Elephas maximus indicus: one gene and its partner. The protein of the gene in region 2 interacts with the protein of the main gene of each other region in a pairwise test. Links are inferred from orthologs where the notes say so. Each region holds a gene or a part of one and is shown on either strand. Other genes may lie near its edges.

What was found.
Region 1: the proteins of TPM3 (region 2) and IKBIP interact in a two-hybrid assay, tested with the Homo sapiens proteins (2 studies listed by BioGRID). The two-hybrid records come from large-scale screens. The link is inferred for Elephas maximus indicus from reciprocal best matches to the Homo sapiens genes TPM3 and IKBIP.

Annotation. Positions count from the first base shown.
Region 1 is NC_064822.1:164,576,956-164,584,244, forward strand, and holds the start of IKBIP (inhibitor of nuclear factor kappa-B kinase-interacting protein), read right to left. Parts: upstream 3,028-7,289; 5' UTR 2,628-3,027; coding exon 2,452-2,627; intron 1-2,451. Other genes in the region: APAF1 (apoptotic protease-activating factor 1), read left to right, coding at 6,565-6,702, 6,838-7,027. UniProt on the Homo sapiens protein: Target of p53/TP53 with pro-apoptotic function.
Region 2 is NC_064821.1:191,974,293-191,982,089, reverse strand, and holds the start of TPM3 (tropomyosin alpha-3 chain), read left to right. Parts: upstream 1-4,716; 5' UTR 4,717-4,774; coding exon 4,775-4,891; intron 4,892-5,463; coding exon 5,464-5,589; intron 5,590-7,797. UniProt on the Homo sapiens protein: Binds to actin filaments in muscle and non-muscle cells. Plays a central role, in association with the troponin complex, in the calcium dependent regulation of vertebrate striated muscle contraction.

The sequences.
Region 1 (7,289 bases), on a different chromosome or scaffold from region 2:
TAAAGGCAGGTGATGGAGACAGACAAGGATTGTGCTTGCAAGCTGAAATACACAAGAGAGGGCCTCCCACTACAGCCATGTCCTGAATTCCCACTTCCAGCCTTCTAAACTATGAGAAAATAAATTTCTGTTCTTTAAAGCTACCTACCTGTGATACTTCTGTTACAGCAGCATTTAGTTAACTAAGACAAGGTCTGAAAACAATTATACAATGTCATGCCTTGAAATCCTTCTTGGGCCATGAATTGGTTCAGATTTTTCCCAACTTAATTAGACAAAGGATGGATAAGCTGCATTTAAGAGTACACGGGCAAACATTATTATTCACTGTTGTATCGTAACCAGAACAATGTCAGTACAGTAAGCTTTCAATAAAGACTTGATGGGCCAACTTTTAGATGCAGAAGTATGTCTTGAAGTGGTAAAGCTTTTACATGCTTTAAGAGATGCCAACATGTCTTTTATTTGGGAAATGCTTGCAAATGTTTTACCAGGATAAAATGTTATTCCTGAATTTATCGTGGATAAATCATTTACGATAAAAAATGACTAAAGTATATATACTTCAACTCTTGTGGTAAAGATTTCACTAGGACAATTAACAAAGCCAACTATTTTCATAAACAATCATAGAATATGCCACAGAAATAATTTGATTCACCATTGTTTTATTATTTTGCAATGACACAGTTCAAATAAAATCTCCCTAAAAAAAAAAAAAAATTTTTTTTTCTTTTTATTGAATGGAACATGTTTGTTTTTATTGCAGACACTAACAGTAAATTCCTGAGCTTTAGCATCGGTCTTCCGACACTTTTTTCCCCTTAAAATTTAGTTTCCTATTGGAGCTTTTTTCCAGGACAATAACTAAATACTGAAAAGCTGATCATTTTATTATCTCATGTGAATATGAAACTTTGGCTAATTAATGAGAATTAAACTAATATATTTCATAACTAAAACCAGTTGTATTATGTTCCCAAGTGAAGCAATGTATCTTTTATTTTGCTAAATTCTATTACTGAATAACTTCCCCAACAAGGGTTTTTTATTTTCTAAAAAGGACATGCATTTTTAGGCATAAGAGCAGTTTACCTAAAACAGTAAATTCAGTACATTTATTCTTTCCAGATAAAAAATATCACCTAAACAAAAAAACCACATTAGTAAAATGAAACATTAAATCTTTTTTGGAAAAGAACATCTAATAATCAACTTTTCACTTTATTGTAATAGATCTTCTACTAACTTGGGTGAAAAATAAACAACTCTCAGATAAGTTATCAGTGAAGTACAATTAGAAATATACTAGCATCACAAATGTTCTAGGCTAGAGGATGTCCGGGGACCCTTCTTTACTGCTCTGAGATTTTTAATAAATAACAAACAAAAATAAACAAAACCAGGTGCCATCATGTTTGTTCTGACTCATGGGGACCCCACGTGTTGCAGAGTATAACTGTTCTCCGTAGAGTTTTTTCTATGGTTGTGACGTTTCTCGAAACCAGGTCTTTCTTCCCAGTGCCTCTGGATGGGTTAGAAGCACCACCCTTTTGGTTAGTTCATAAGCTCTTAATCGGATGCACCACGCAGGGACTCCAGGATTGTTAAAAAACGATCTTCTAAATATTTTAACATTGTGGTGAAAAATAGAGGGATTTTCTAATTTAAAGTGTCAGTATTGTTACTAAAATGAAATAGGTTTTTTTCCCCTCTTTTTAAAGAAAATGACTGGAGAAAATAAAATCAGGAAGGTGGTTTTAAGGTTATTTCTACATTCGTTTTCCCTATGGCATCAATACGTCACTATTTATTTGGTTTAAAAACTATAAATGCTTAGTTTCAAGTGAACACAACTACTGTACTTTTGTACCTTTACAGTAATTAGAGTTCAATCTGTAACTTAGGAAAAGACTCTAAGCTCATAATACATAGTCTTCAAAAAATGGGAAATCCTCCAAACTTTGACATTATCTTCAACGTCTGTTGCTTTGAAACCACAATGAGTTCTTTTTAAAGTTGCAAACTTTTCCATTAGACATTTACGGTGGGGAGAGGGAGGAAGAGGGGACTGTCCTGGACAAATGCAATGGGATAGGAAGTAACGGTTTAGAAAAACGCAAAAGCTTCCGACGTGTAGTAGACGTTTTAATTTATAAAGTTTGGAATCATCTGCCATCTCTTAAGAAATGGCTGAAATGTTCCTAAACCTTAGCCTCAACTCCAATTAAGCGGTAGAGAACATGCTACCAGTACAAAGGAAAATTACAAAAAAGGAGGAAAAGAAACTAGAGACAGAGGAACAATCTGGAGGTTGAAGGTTAGCGGGGCGCTGAGCCGGCTGGGGCCGGGGCAAGGACGTGATCCCAAAGAGCGGAGCGACCACAGGAGGCAGGACGCAGGACGCGGGCAGCTGCGCGGCCGGCTCCCCCATGTCTCGCGTCCACTTACCAGGCGAGGCCCAGGCATGTCCCCAGCGACAGCAGGCTCAGGCCCGTCCGGGGGTCCGCCCAGCCCCTGCCTCCACTGCCCCGGGCCTCGGGGCTCTTCCCGCCCTCGCTCCGCTTCCCGGGCTCCGCGGGCGCTGCCTTGGGCGCTGACTTCTTCCGGCTCTTCACCTCGGACATGTTTGGAGGCCGTGAGGAGTACAAGCCCGAGGTGGGGCCGCTTCTTCACCCCGGGGGAATGGACGTGGCCGCTTCGGCCTCCTCCCGAAGCGGGGGCGGAGACGGCGCCCCCTCCCAGACGTGGCACCGCCCACGAGCCAGCCCCTCTCGCTTTCTGGGATGCACTTGCCGCTTCACAGCATCTCCCAGCAGCCGGTCTTCGGGTGGGGCGTCCAGCGACCCCCCACTTCCGCCTTCCGTCTTGTAACTGCCCCAAAAGTGAGGAAATCGAAGCTCCCGGGCGGGTGTAAGCCTCCGAGATCCGAGGGGGCGCGGCCAGGTCGCGCGCGCGCCACTTAGAGCGCGCCGCCGCCGCCTCAGCCTTCCCTTCTGGGAGCCCCGCGCGCCCGTGTGGCTTAGCCACGCCCCCCAAGCGGGGGGCGGGCTCTTCTCTGCGGGAGCGCGCGCGGCGGCGTCCTCCCCAAGGGGCTCCGGGGGTGTTTATTTGCGTGCGCGGGCGCGCGCTGTCCTGACTGGGCGGGCTCTTCTCTGCGGGAGCGCGCGCGGCGGCGTCCTCCCCAAGGGGCTCCGGGGGTGTTTATTTGCGTGCGCGGGCGCGCGCTGTCCAGACTGGGCGGGCCGGGCGGGTTTTGATTGCTCAGCGGTACTGTAGCCGACTGGAGGCGAAAACGAGTGGCTGGGATGCTTTATCTCTGGGTAGAAAGATTGAGGGAGCGGGAGGGGAGGCACCGGGGCCCTCAGGGACCAGCGAGGACGTGAAAGGGTCGCAGCGGCGTCCGGAGTGTCGCCGGCTCCCCCCGGGGTGCAGCTACCACCGGAACGAGGGAGCGACATCCCCAAGTGGCCCTTTTCCCTTTGTGTCCTGGGGCGGGATCCGCCGGGAGAGCGGCCCGCGGGCCGGGCCTCACCTCGGCGCCCTGGGGCTGTGAGGTCCGGCGGCGGAGGTGACGCCCGCTTCCGGGCATCTCGAGTCCCCCAGGGTCTTCAGGCGCCCCGGGCTGCGGAGGCGCAGGTGAGGCACCTGTGAGGCCTGGCCCGAGGTGCTAGGACGTTGAGAAGTTCCTCGTCGGAGGCCCCAGCTACCTTTAACCCTGGCCGGCCTGCCCCCGCGGGGCTGCTGGTCCCATTGAGCCCTTGGCACCGAGGTTTGGGTAAGTGCCTGACGGCTTTTCGCCCTGAGCCAGATTCTTTGGAGGATCGGTAGCAGATTTCAGAGACGGAGGATTCGGGAATATGGAATATTTGGTAACCGTTTTGCTGCCGTTATTAGGAAATTATCTAATGAGGAAGCAGTGAACTGTTAAGGTTTCAATTTTATTCCTGTGAAGAGTTTTGGCTTTACTTCTTGGTGTGTTACAAAATTTACAAATTGAGAATTTGTTCAAAATACTTCAGTTTGTGAAGAGTTTAAAAACGTGTTTTACAGTTTACGTATTTAAGGTTAATAAGGATGGGCAAAATTGGAAATTAGTTTTAGATTGACAAAGAGTGTCTATTTCTTAGCAATTGGACCTAACCTAAAAGTTCACTTTTGTCTAATCGAGGAACGTTTATGTTTAAATTAGGCGAATAAAAACATTATTAATATTTTAAAAATATGATATCCTTGATTCTAATCATAATTTTTTCTTTTATCAGTTAATTTCATGGTAGTACTGGGCGTTTCTGAAACGTGACAAAATTTTTTTTTTTTTTTTTTTTGTGTAGGCAAATGCTTCCATTACCATATTTTTGCAAGTGCCACATTTAATGACTTTAAAAAAAAAAAATTCCGGTCATTGTTGAAAAAAAAAAAGCTTATGGTTATTATCCCTCTTCTGAGCGTTAAATAATTTTTGCTTAACTCTATTTTATTTGTGTATTACATCACATTCTAATTGTCTCTTTATTTTTCTTAGACTGGATTGTGGATTTATTCAGGAATATGAGTTAATCGCCTCTGTATTCTCAGTGCCTGGCAAATAGTAGCGGCGCAAATGTTTATCGAATGAATAAATTTATTTAACAAACCCATTTAGACACTTTCAGTGTAATACACTGGATGTAGTTGTGTTTGTTTTAAAAACTTGAAAGCGTTCTGATTTGGGTTTTATACCCGTGGAAAAATTTGAGTTATATTTGAAATAAAGTTGGTAGAAACTTGTTTTATTGTAGAGAATATTCTTTCTTTGTGTCCTCTTAATCTAAGAAATGACATCAGAAGTTATTTCCTGTTACTTTGTCATACTTAAAGGCTTAGATGAAACTTCAGTGGAGTGAACAAGTGAGAAATGTGTTTACAGCTGAAGACCTACAGCTAACACACACCTTCAGTGTGTATACTCAATACCAACAAAACTTTATTCTGGATAAAGAAAATGAGAAATTTTGAAACATTAGAACTTCATATGATTGCTATTTTATTAAATTTCAATCTATAAAGAGTGGTTTTATAGTAAAACTGATACAATATAATGTGTATTGAAAAAAACTAATATTAAAAAAAAAAAACCCAAATCCTGCTCCTTGGAAATAACACTTAAAAGAATTTTTTTTGTTGTTGTTGAGAATATACAGAGCAAAACATACACCAATTCAACAGTTCCTATGTGTACAATTCGGTGACATTGATTATATTCTTTGAGTTCTGTAACCATTCTCACCCTCCTTTTCTGAGTTGTTTCTCTCCATTAGGATAAACTCACTGCCCCGTAAGTTTCCTATATAACTTTGCAGTAGTTATCAATTTGATCCTATATAAACCAAAACCAAACCCATTGCTGTTGAGTCAATCCTATAGGACAGAGTACAACTGCCCTGTGGGTTTCCAAGGCTGTTGGAATTGACTCAATGGCATTGGGTTTCATTTTGGTGAATCTTTACAGAGGCAGACTGCCATGTCTTTGTCCCTGGAAGATGCTGCCAACCTTTCAGTTAGTGCTTAAACACTGGGTCGCCTGGGCTTCTCCATGAGCAAGCAACTGCCCCTCTTTTTCCCTCCCTCCTGCCCTTGGTAATTAATAAACTTTGGTCTCTTGTTTTTTTGTCTCTTGTTTTTTAATATAAGTGAGGTCATATAATATTTGTCCTTCTGTGATTGACTTATTTCACTCAGAATAACCCACACGTTTTGATGAACAAACTTCTGAACATCTCCCCCATGTTTATGTGATACAAACATTTTGTGTTATATATAAGAACATATTTCTATGTTTTTACTCAGCAATGTGTTATGAACATCTTTCCGTGTCAGTATATAGACATTTGTGTTATTTTAAATAGCTGTGTAATATTCCATTTGATGTTTGTACCCTGGTTTTTTTCATCCGTATTCAGAATGATGGACATTTAGATTGTTTTCATCTTTTTCCCACCTAAACACTTTCTGTTAAATAAAGGGTATTTTTGCATATATATGTACATTTCTACTTGAGGTAAAAAAGGAGCCCTGGTGGTACAGTGGTTAAATACTTGGCCGCTAACTAAAAGGTCAGCGGTTCGAACCCACCAGCTGCTTTGTGGGACAGAGATGTGGCGGTCTGTTTTCATCAATATTACAGCTTTGGAAACCCTATGTGGCAGTTCTGCTCGGTCCTATGGGAATCGACTCGACGGCAGTGGATTTGGTTTTTTGGTACTTGAGGTAAATTGTTAGGAAGAGTAAAAAGAATGCTTATTTTAAACAGTTCTATATCTTACCATCTTGCCATCCAGAAAAGTTGCATTAATTTTGTACTCTGAGAATACCCATAAGAAATGTCCATTTTTTCACGGCTTTGAAACACTGGGTTTCATTTATAAAAACCTTTACAGAAAATGATCTTGTTTTATTTACATTTATTGATTACCAGTGAGATTGTACATCTTTTCATATCTTTATTGGCCTTACATGTATTTTGGTGTTCTGCCTGCAGCTCATGGTTGACAGCTTAGAAGAGAGAGAAAAATTTGAGGGAGGATGGATGCAAAAGCTCGAAATTGTTTACTTCAACACAGAGAAGCCCTGGAAAGGGACATCAAGACAGCCTATATCATGGATCACATGATTAGTGATGGAGTTTTAACATTATTGGAGGAGGAAAAAGTGAAAATTGAGGTAAAGACCCTTGAGGTGGTCTATGATTTCTTAAAATGTTTTAGAATTTATTTCATAACTTGCACTGGTCTCCACTAATTTTTGTTGCAAAAGTGTTAATTATTGTATGCTAAACTACTTAATTTTTTTTTTTAGCCCACTCAACAGCAGCGAGCAGCTATGCTAATTAAAATGATACTTCAAAAAGATAATTATTCCTACATATCATTCTACAATGCTCTACTGCATGAGGGGTATAGAGATCTGGCTGACCGTCTCCGCGGTGGTCTTCCTGATGTCTCTTCTTCCAATGGCAAAGATTCAGTTGGTGGAATAACTTCATATGGTTTGTATCCATGATGCCTTCTATCACGTTGGCTATATTGCTGCAGTTTTGTCTTACTGTAGATGGAGCCTGCCCAAGACACTATGATCAGTTCACTGAGAAATGCATGTGAAAAAATTGTGATGTTGTTTTCTAGTTTAAATATTTTTATTTGTATCCATGTTAACCCTCACATTTTCTTTTTGCCCAGTGAGCAATTTACTCCTGAGTTAATAATACTGATATACTAATTTTTAGAGATAATAAATTTATAGGCCATTAT
Region 2 (7,797 bases):
GTGTGACCTTGGTGTTCTTCATTCTCCTTTGATCCAGGTGGGTTGAGACCAATTGATGCATCTTAGATGGCCGCTTGTTAGCATTTAAGACCCCAGACGCCACATTTCAAAGTGGGATGCAGAATGTTTTCATAATAGAATTATCTTGCCAATTGACTTAGAAGTCCCCTTAAACCATGTTCCCCAAACCCCCGCCCTTGCTCCGCTGACCTTTGAAGCATTCATTTCATCCTGGAAACTTCTTTGCTTTTGGTCCAGTCCAATTGAGCTGACCTTCCATGTATTGAGTGTTGTCCTTCCCTTCACCTAAAGCAGTTCTTATCTACTAATTAATCAGTAAAAAACCCTCTCCCTTCCTTCCTCCCTCCCTCCCCCCCTCATAACCACGAAAGTATGTGTTCTTCTCAGTTTATACTATTTCTGAAGATCTTATAATTGTGATCTTATACAATATTAGTCCTTTTGCCTCTAATTTTGCTCAGCATAATGCCTTCCAGGTTCCTCCATGTTATGAAATGTTTCACAGATTCGTCACTGTTCTTTATCGATGTGTAGTATTCCATTGTGTGAATATACCACAATTTATTTACCCATTCATCTGTTGACGGACACCTTGGTTGTTTCCAGCTTTTTGCTATTGTAAACAGAGCTGCAATAAACATGGGTGTGCATATATCTGTTTGTGTGAAGGCTCTTGTTTCTCTAGGGTATATTCTGAGGAGTGGGATTTCTGGGTTGTATGGTAGTTCTATTTCTAACTGTTTAAGATAACGCCAGATAGATTTCCAAAGTGGTTGTACCATTTTACATTCCCACTAGCAGTGTATAAGAGTTCCAATCTCTCCGCAGCCTCTCCAACATTTATTATTTTGTGTTTTTTGGATTAATGCCAGCCTTGTTGGAGTGAGATGGAATCTCATCGTAGTTTTAATTTGCATTTCTCTAATGGCTAATGATCGAGAGCATTTTCTCATGTATCTGTTAGCTGCCTGTATATCTTCTTTAGTGAAGTGTGTGTTCATATCCTTTGCCCACCTCTTGATTGGGTTGTTTGTCTTTTTGTGGTTGAGTTTTGACAGAGTCATATAGATTTTAGAGATCAGGCACTGGTCGGAGATGTCATAGCTGAAAATTCTTTCTCCCCAGACTGTTTTTTCTCCAGCCTCTGGTTCTCCATTGTGGCCAAGGTTCTCAGAGAAGGCACTAGAACTTGCGGGGTGGGAGTGAGGGGAAAAAGGGAGGGCAGAAAAGCAAAACTTATACCCTCTCGCATTGTGAGCCATAAAGGAACAAGGACATAACACCACAGGTGCCTAGCCTGAGGTCTACACGTCCATTTGTTAGTCTTCCCACAGAAGGCAAGAGCCATACAACAGGACTGACTAGGGCTTGGGACAAGTTATTGATCTCTTTCAAGGGCAGAGTGGAGTTGGAGTGGGGGGAAGTGTCCAGGCTAATGGGAGCAAGGACACATGGAACAGGCCTGGGGGCTGAAGCAGAGCCTCCACCCCAAACCCTGCACTTCCACCCAAGCCCCCCAGCCCCCAGTGCAGCTATAACCTGAGTTCCTTTCTGCCACAGTACAGAGAAGCATCAGCCTGCCACTGATATCAACAGACCTGATTCTTTTCAGAAGAAAAATCCCCTAGAAGAGAACCAGGCTGGATCCCTGAGGGAAGACCCTTGGAGAAGGCAGCCCAAGCGCTGGAATTCTTACAGTTAAAAGTCCCAGAAGAGGAGGAGAGTCCCAAGGACTGCAGGCTACTCCCTGGCAGTGGGGGTTTCCTTCTTCACCCCTGATCTCCTGTAGTCTTAGTTTCAATTCTGCCAGGCAAGGGAGACCATAAGTCTTCTCCTCTGGGGCCCAGGCTGGAGGCTACAAGACTTGCAGAGGACAGGATAAAACCCAGACCCTGCTTATGAGACAGGTCACTCTTCTGTATAGGACAACCAAGGGCGACTTCAAGGAGGATGCCTGGAGGACATGAGAAGGTGAGAAGGAACAGGATGGTGGAAAGAGGCCAAGCATTTGGGAAGTTTCTCATGGCTACTTAGCTACAGCATTTAAGAGCAAGATGGTGTCCACAGAATAGACCTCAGCTGTCTTGCGGGCAAGATCTGGAAAGGTTAGGAGTTCTACTGGAAAAAGAAAGCAGGGTGTACAAGCCACCCTCCCAACCTCACCCAAAATGGAAAGCCTCGGGGCAGTTGGAGTGGAGTTGAGGAGAACAGGTGGCAAGGCTGCTGAGGAGTTGCTGACACTGCTGATCCTCTGTGCGCTGGGGCCGTGACTTCAGGGGGAGAAGCTCCATGTGGGAGTTTTTGAGAATAGGTGCCCGGATGTGGAGCCCTGCCAGGTATTCCTCCTGGTGTAAGCCATTGTGATCCAGCAAAGGCCAGGCACTAGTAGGCGAGGAGCTAAGGCAGGAATGGCATGAAGGGCAGATAAGCAAGAGCTGGCTGTCTTGAGAGGTGAAGAGCAGGGGCCAGTGACCTTCCCCAAGAGATGGCTCTTCATCTAACCATGACTGGTGCCTGGTTTATCTGCTCTGTCTTTTCTTTGCAGTGGGGAGAAAGACAAATGACCACGAAAGCTCTCCTGCCTGCTTCTGTATGATATGTTTGATATTGGGTTGTTTAATTAGGAGCCAACTAAATGTCAAACATATTCTTACAGCAGTTGGCAATTCAGCAGCACACTCTTTTCTACCTCAACCTCTGGGGATCCTGTCTTTTCTATTGAACTTCTCTTCAGGACCCCCTCTGGCATATTAGTGGCTGCAACCCATGAAGATTTCAATCTTAAGCTAGAGGGATGGTGTATGAGTGGGATGAGAGTTGGAATTTCCCCCTTAGTAGATAAGATTTCTCTCTTTACCTCTCCTCTCCTTTCCTTGTATTTTTTCATTCAAGTCCCCCTCCCCACTTATTATCCACTGCTTCCCACCCCTGGGACTCTCTTGTTCCTAATCCATTTCCCTGGCTGGTCTGCACATTAGAGGTCTTTGGTCTCTTGCTTTCCTTCAAGTGTTATCTGACCGTTTATCTATTTATCTCTAGTGACTGCAAGCTCTCAGTTCTCAAGAGTGGACTCCAGCTCTGTCCTATGCCTTGCTGGTCGTTTCAGTTTCTTCATTGCTGGGGCATAGCATTAACACCATCCATCTAGCCTTGACATAATGATTCATTTGAGCCATTTATATTCTTCCCTGTTAGCTCTGGTCACCTTGAACAGTGCCCACCGCTCTCCTGGCATACTCTCAGGTTTTATGGTGCCAGTGTGATCAACTGCCACCTGTCAGCAATGAGGCTCCAAGTGGAAGAATGAACACGCCCTGGAACTAAGCTGGGGAGAATAGAGTTGATGATGATGATTATTTTGACGAGTGGTGGTGGGGGTGGGGATAAAGAGAGGGTAAAGGGTGACGGAAAGAAGAGTAGAAAGCAACAGAGTCACGGGGTGGATTATCCAATAGGCAAGGTAAGCTTACCTTGCCTACCAGATCATCTGGAATGAACAATTTCATTACAGATTAGTTAAGTAAGCACAAGTAAGCCTGTGCTTACTTTGCTTACTGGGTCATCTTATGACTGTCAGTTTAAAAAAAGGCTTTGATTCTGCAGGAAGGTGCTGTGAGGTTGGGACAGAGACAGATGCCAGCCATACCTAGAAGCAGAATCTTCGATGTGGTGAAAAAATGTGAAATTGTTCACTACGGATGATCTGGTAACCTTGTGCTTACTTGTCTATTGGATAACCCTCCCCCGTCCCCCGACCCGAGCACACCCATTGGTCCGTGTGGGTACAAAAGTTCTATTTAAAGATCACTATGGGAAAACGGAGCCTTGCTGGCACAGTGGTTAAGAGTTTGGCTGCTAACCAAAAGGTCAGCAGTTCAAATCCACAAGCCGCTCCTTGGACATCCTATGGGGGAGTTCTACTTTGTCCTATAGGGTTGCTATGAGTCAGAATCGACTCAATGGCAATGGGCTTTTTTTAATGGGAAATCAGCATGATCCTGTCTGGCTCACTCTAACCCTATCCTAGTTTAAGCTCTGAGATGGCCTTCCAGATCTCAACCTACCCTCTTACTCCATCCCTGTGGTTCTTAGCAGGGAGGAATGATGTCTCCCTTCTAATCAGGGACTCCCAAAATAGCAAAGCAATTTGATCTTGGGATCTAGGGGAATTGTTAAGGATCATGAGTGACCTCCCCTCTTCACTGTTGCCCAGGCTCCCTGGATACCAGGAATCAAAAGATGAAACCCAACCAGTGGAATCTGATCACCATCCAACTCAGTCTGGGTGACAGTAAGAGGAAAGCTGAAGGGCAACTGAGACTCTGGATGAAAACTCACGCCATCCTAAAATTGCCAAAGTACCCTTCCCTTTTCTATATCAATGTTTTCTCTTTCCCTCTCCCTGCTCTTGTAAAATACCCATAGAACTGCCTAGAATAAGTGGAAATTTTCAGGGTTGGTGAGAGTCTCCCCTCCTCCACTTTCCATTGTCTAAAGTCAGCCTCAGCTGTTCACAGATATTTCTTTGCCGGTGATGTCAGTCCATCAAAGTGTCTCACCCTGTGTTCCCCCAGGAGAATAACGATGGGGTGGAGAGAGATGGAAGGGCCATATTAGGAATAAGAGGTGGAGCCACAAGCAGAGATAAAGGCTTAAGTGTGGGAAACTTCTAGTCACTCAGGCAGCAGCCCTTCCTTTCTTGACCTAGTCTCCAGTTTCTAGTGCTCACAGGTGAGCCCAACAGCCACTGCTCATGATGGAGGCCATCAAGAAAAAGATGCAGATGCTGAAGTTGGACAAGGAGAATGCTCTGGATCGGGCAGAACAAGCTGAAGCTGAGCAGAAACAGGCAGAAGAAAGAAGTAAACAGGTAGGCACTGCCATGATGTCTTTCACCTCCTGATGAATAAGACTGAGATGGGAGAGAGTTTTCATGGGAAAAGCAGTGACCCCTGGTGCCAGCTCCTTCTTTAGGCAAGAGGGACTTTTCTTCCCAGCTTCCCTGGAGGGGCAGAGGACATCTGCGGTATCTGCCTCAGACTACCTGTGTGACCTCGGGAAAGTCAGTGATCCCCCTCAGAGCCACAGCATGTCTGCTGGATTTAAGTGGGAGGTGGATCATCTTTTGGAAGAGCCCGGAAAAGGCGGAAGGCCTGGCATGCAGCATCTCTTTTCCGTTAAATGGAGTCACAGGTATCTATAACCTTAGATATTGGATGCCAGGGTCTTGGATAAAAACCCTGGCATCCAACCCAACATAGGGTCACAGGCCAAGGCCGAAGCGTAACACTTGGAGCATTAGATTGGAAATGGCTGGGGAAAAAGTATGTCTCTGAGGATGGTAACATAGAGGCTGGGCTCCGGGGCCTAGTAGGGCTCAAGAGCCCAGGGTCCAAGACTGTACTGCTGTGTATATGTATGTGACTCTCTGGGCTCCTACAGCTGGAGGATGAGTTGGCAGCCATGCAGAAGAAGCTGAAAGGGACAGAGGATGAACTGGACAAGTATTCTGAGGCTTTGAAGGATGCCCAGGAGAAGCTGGAGCTGGCTGAGAAGAAGGCAGCTGATGTGAGTATTAGAGTTGGGGATGGGTTTAATCCACACATATAGATCTTGATGTTAATATGTGACTAAATTCCAAACACACTTTGACATATGCATACTTGTGGGTCCACAGACAGACATATGTATATACTCACATACATCTCTGCATCTAACCACATACTGGTATACTCTTGGAACAGCATATATTTTCTTCCTTAAAGAGATGTAGAAGTCTCATCTTTCTGTTGCACTGCCAGCCCAGGAATTTTATTCTTTCCCAAGAACTGGATAAAAGGAGAAGACTCCAAATCCAAGTTGCTATCACTTATCCTACCCTTCCCCCATGACACATTCTTAGCTTTTGTGTCCAAGGCTTGGCATGAAGATATGTGTATTAATAGGGAATCTCTCATCTCCCAACTACCCAACAAAGCCAGCTTGGATTTCACAATGGGACTAAGGAGGTCACATTGACTCTGGGCCTGTATAGGTTTCTTTATCTTGGCCAATTTGGGCATCTGATCTCAAGTAACAGAGATGCCATATGAAGCATTCTCATAGGACATCAGGGAGGTCCTTAGGGTGAAAGACTACAACAGAAACTAAGAAGGAATCTTAGAGGGCAAAAGTATCACCACCAGACCTTACTCTATAACCTTGAGTCAATTACTCAGCTTCTCTAGGGCTGAATTTTCCCATTTGAAAAATGAGATTAAATCTTCTTTCCCACTTCATGTTATCCCCGTTTCACTTAATACTCTCCATTTTCAACCTTGAAGTTTGCCACAAAGATAACTGAGAGACTAGATAGGAAAGTCTTTGGGGAGAAAACTACCATAGGAATCTTAACAGCGACAGAAGAATATCCTAGTGTTGATGGAGATAGAGTTAAAATGCTCAGCAAACTGAGTTAATAGGAAAACAAGAGCATGTCACTTAAAAATCACATTTGGTTTTGGAAAATAGCTAGAAGGAATGAATAAGCCATTCACAAATACTTTTGGATCCTTACACTCAGGCTTTTGCCATCAGGTTTCTATCTCCTGTTTGGCTTTCTATCACTTTCAGGGGCCCTGGGAAATGGTAAGGGTTGAATATATGATGCCAGAGACTAGCGACAGAAAGCAGTAATATACTTTATACGTACGTAGAGTTTCCAAATGTTTAGGCCACTGCAAACTATTAATACCCCATTCTTGGAAAACTGCAAAAAGTATGGATTACTCCAAGGGCTTTGGGCAAGTGCTTGATGGCATGCTGGAGTTGCCCTAGCCTAGGTCTGTGTATGGATGTGTGGATCTCTGGTTCCAAAAAACCGGCATACGGACAGAAGTTTTCACAAACTGGTACAGTAAACTGGCATAGGGATAGAAGTTTTCAGGAATTGGTACAATAAACCAGCGTAGGGAGACTTTTCACAAACTAGCACAATTTCAGGCTAGTAACATTTTTGTGAGATGTTGGGTAATAATTCTCTGGGAAAGTCCTTAGGCTGAAACAGCTAATATGTGCGCTTGAGGGGATGTTTCCAGGGGCAACAAAAAAAAAAGTTTAACCTGAATCTTAGGAAAGGCAGAGTGACATAGAGGCCCTTAACAATATATTAATATCATGGGGAAGATAAGAGAATTTCCTGGGGATGAATTCTGTCCATTCTAATCTATTTTACACACACACACATCATCCCCCACCCAGATATGGTCTTTGTTGCTAGTTGCCATCTAGTCAGCTCTGACTCGTGGTGATCTTACATATAACAGAGGTCTACTTAGTATATTCACTTGAACGAAATGTCTGACATTTATACAGGAATCCGCCAAAAACGTTTCAACATGTAAAATGTGGGTACAAAACTCATTCAACTTCTTCCCCCCTTACTAGCTAGTGCAACAAGTCAATAAGCACCATACACTTATTGGAATGGAAGAGGAAGGTTGTGGGCAGGAGACAAAAGTCTTCTAGGGTAGGTTGAGAAGGCAGCAGGCAGAAAAGGCATCTTTCCTCAAAGCTGGGGTCAGCAAACTAGCAACTGTAGGGTAAATCCAACTGCAGCCTGGTTTTGTAAATAAGGTTTTATTGGAACCCAGCCATGCCCATTCATATACAAATAAATCATGTGTACCGGATGCCTTCTCCCTACAACGGGAGTAACTGCCACAGAGACCTAATGGCCCACAAAGTCAAAAATATTTACTATCTGGCCCTTTACAGAAAAACTTGCCAACCTCTGCC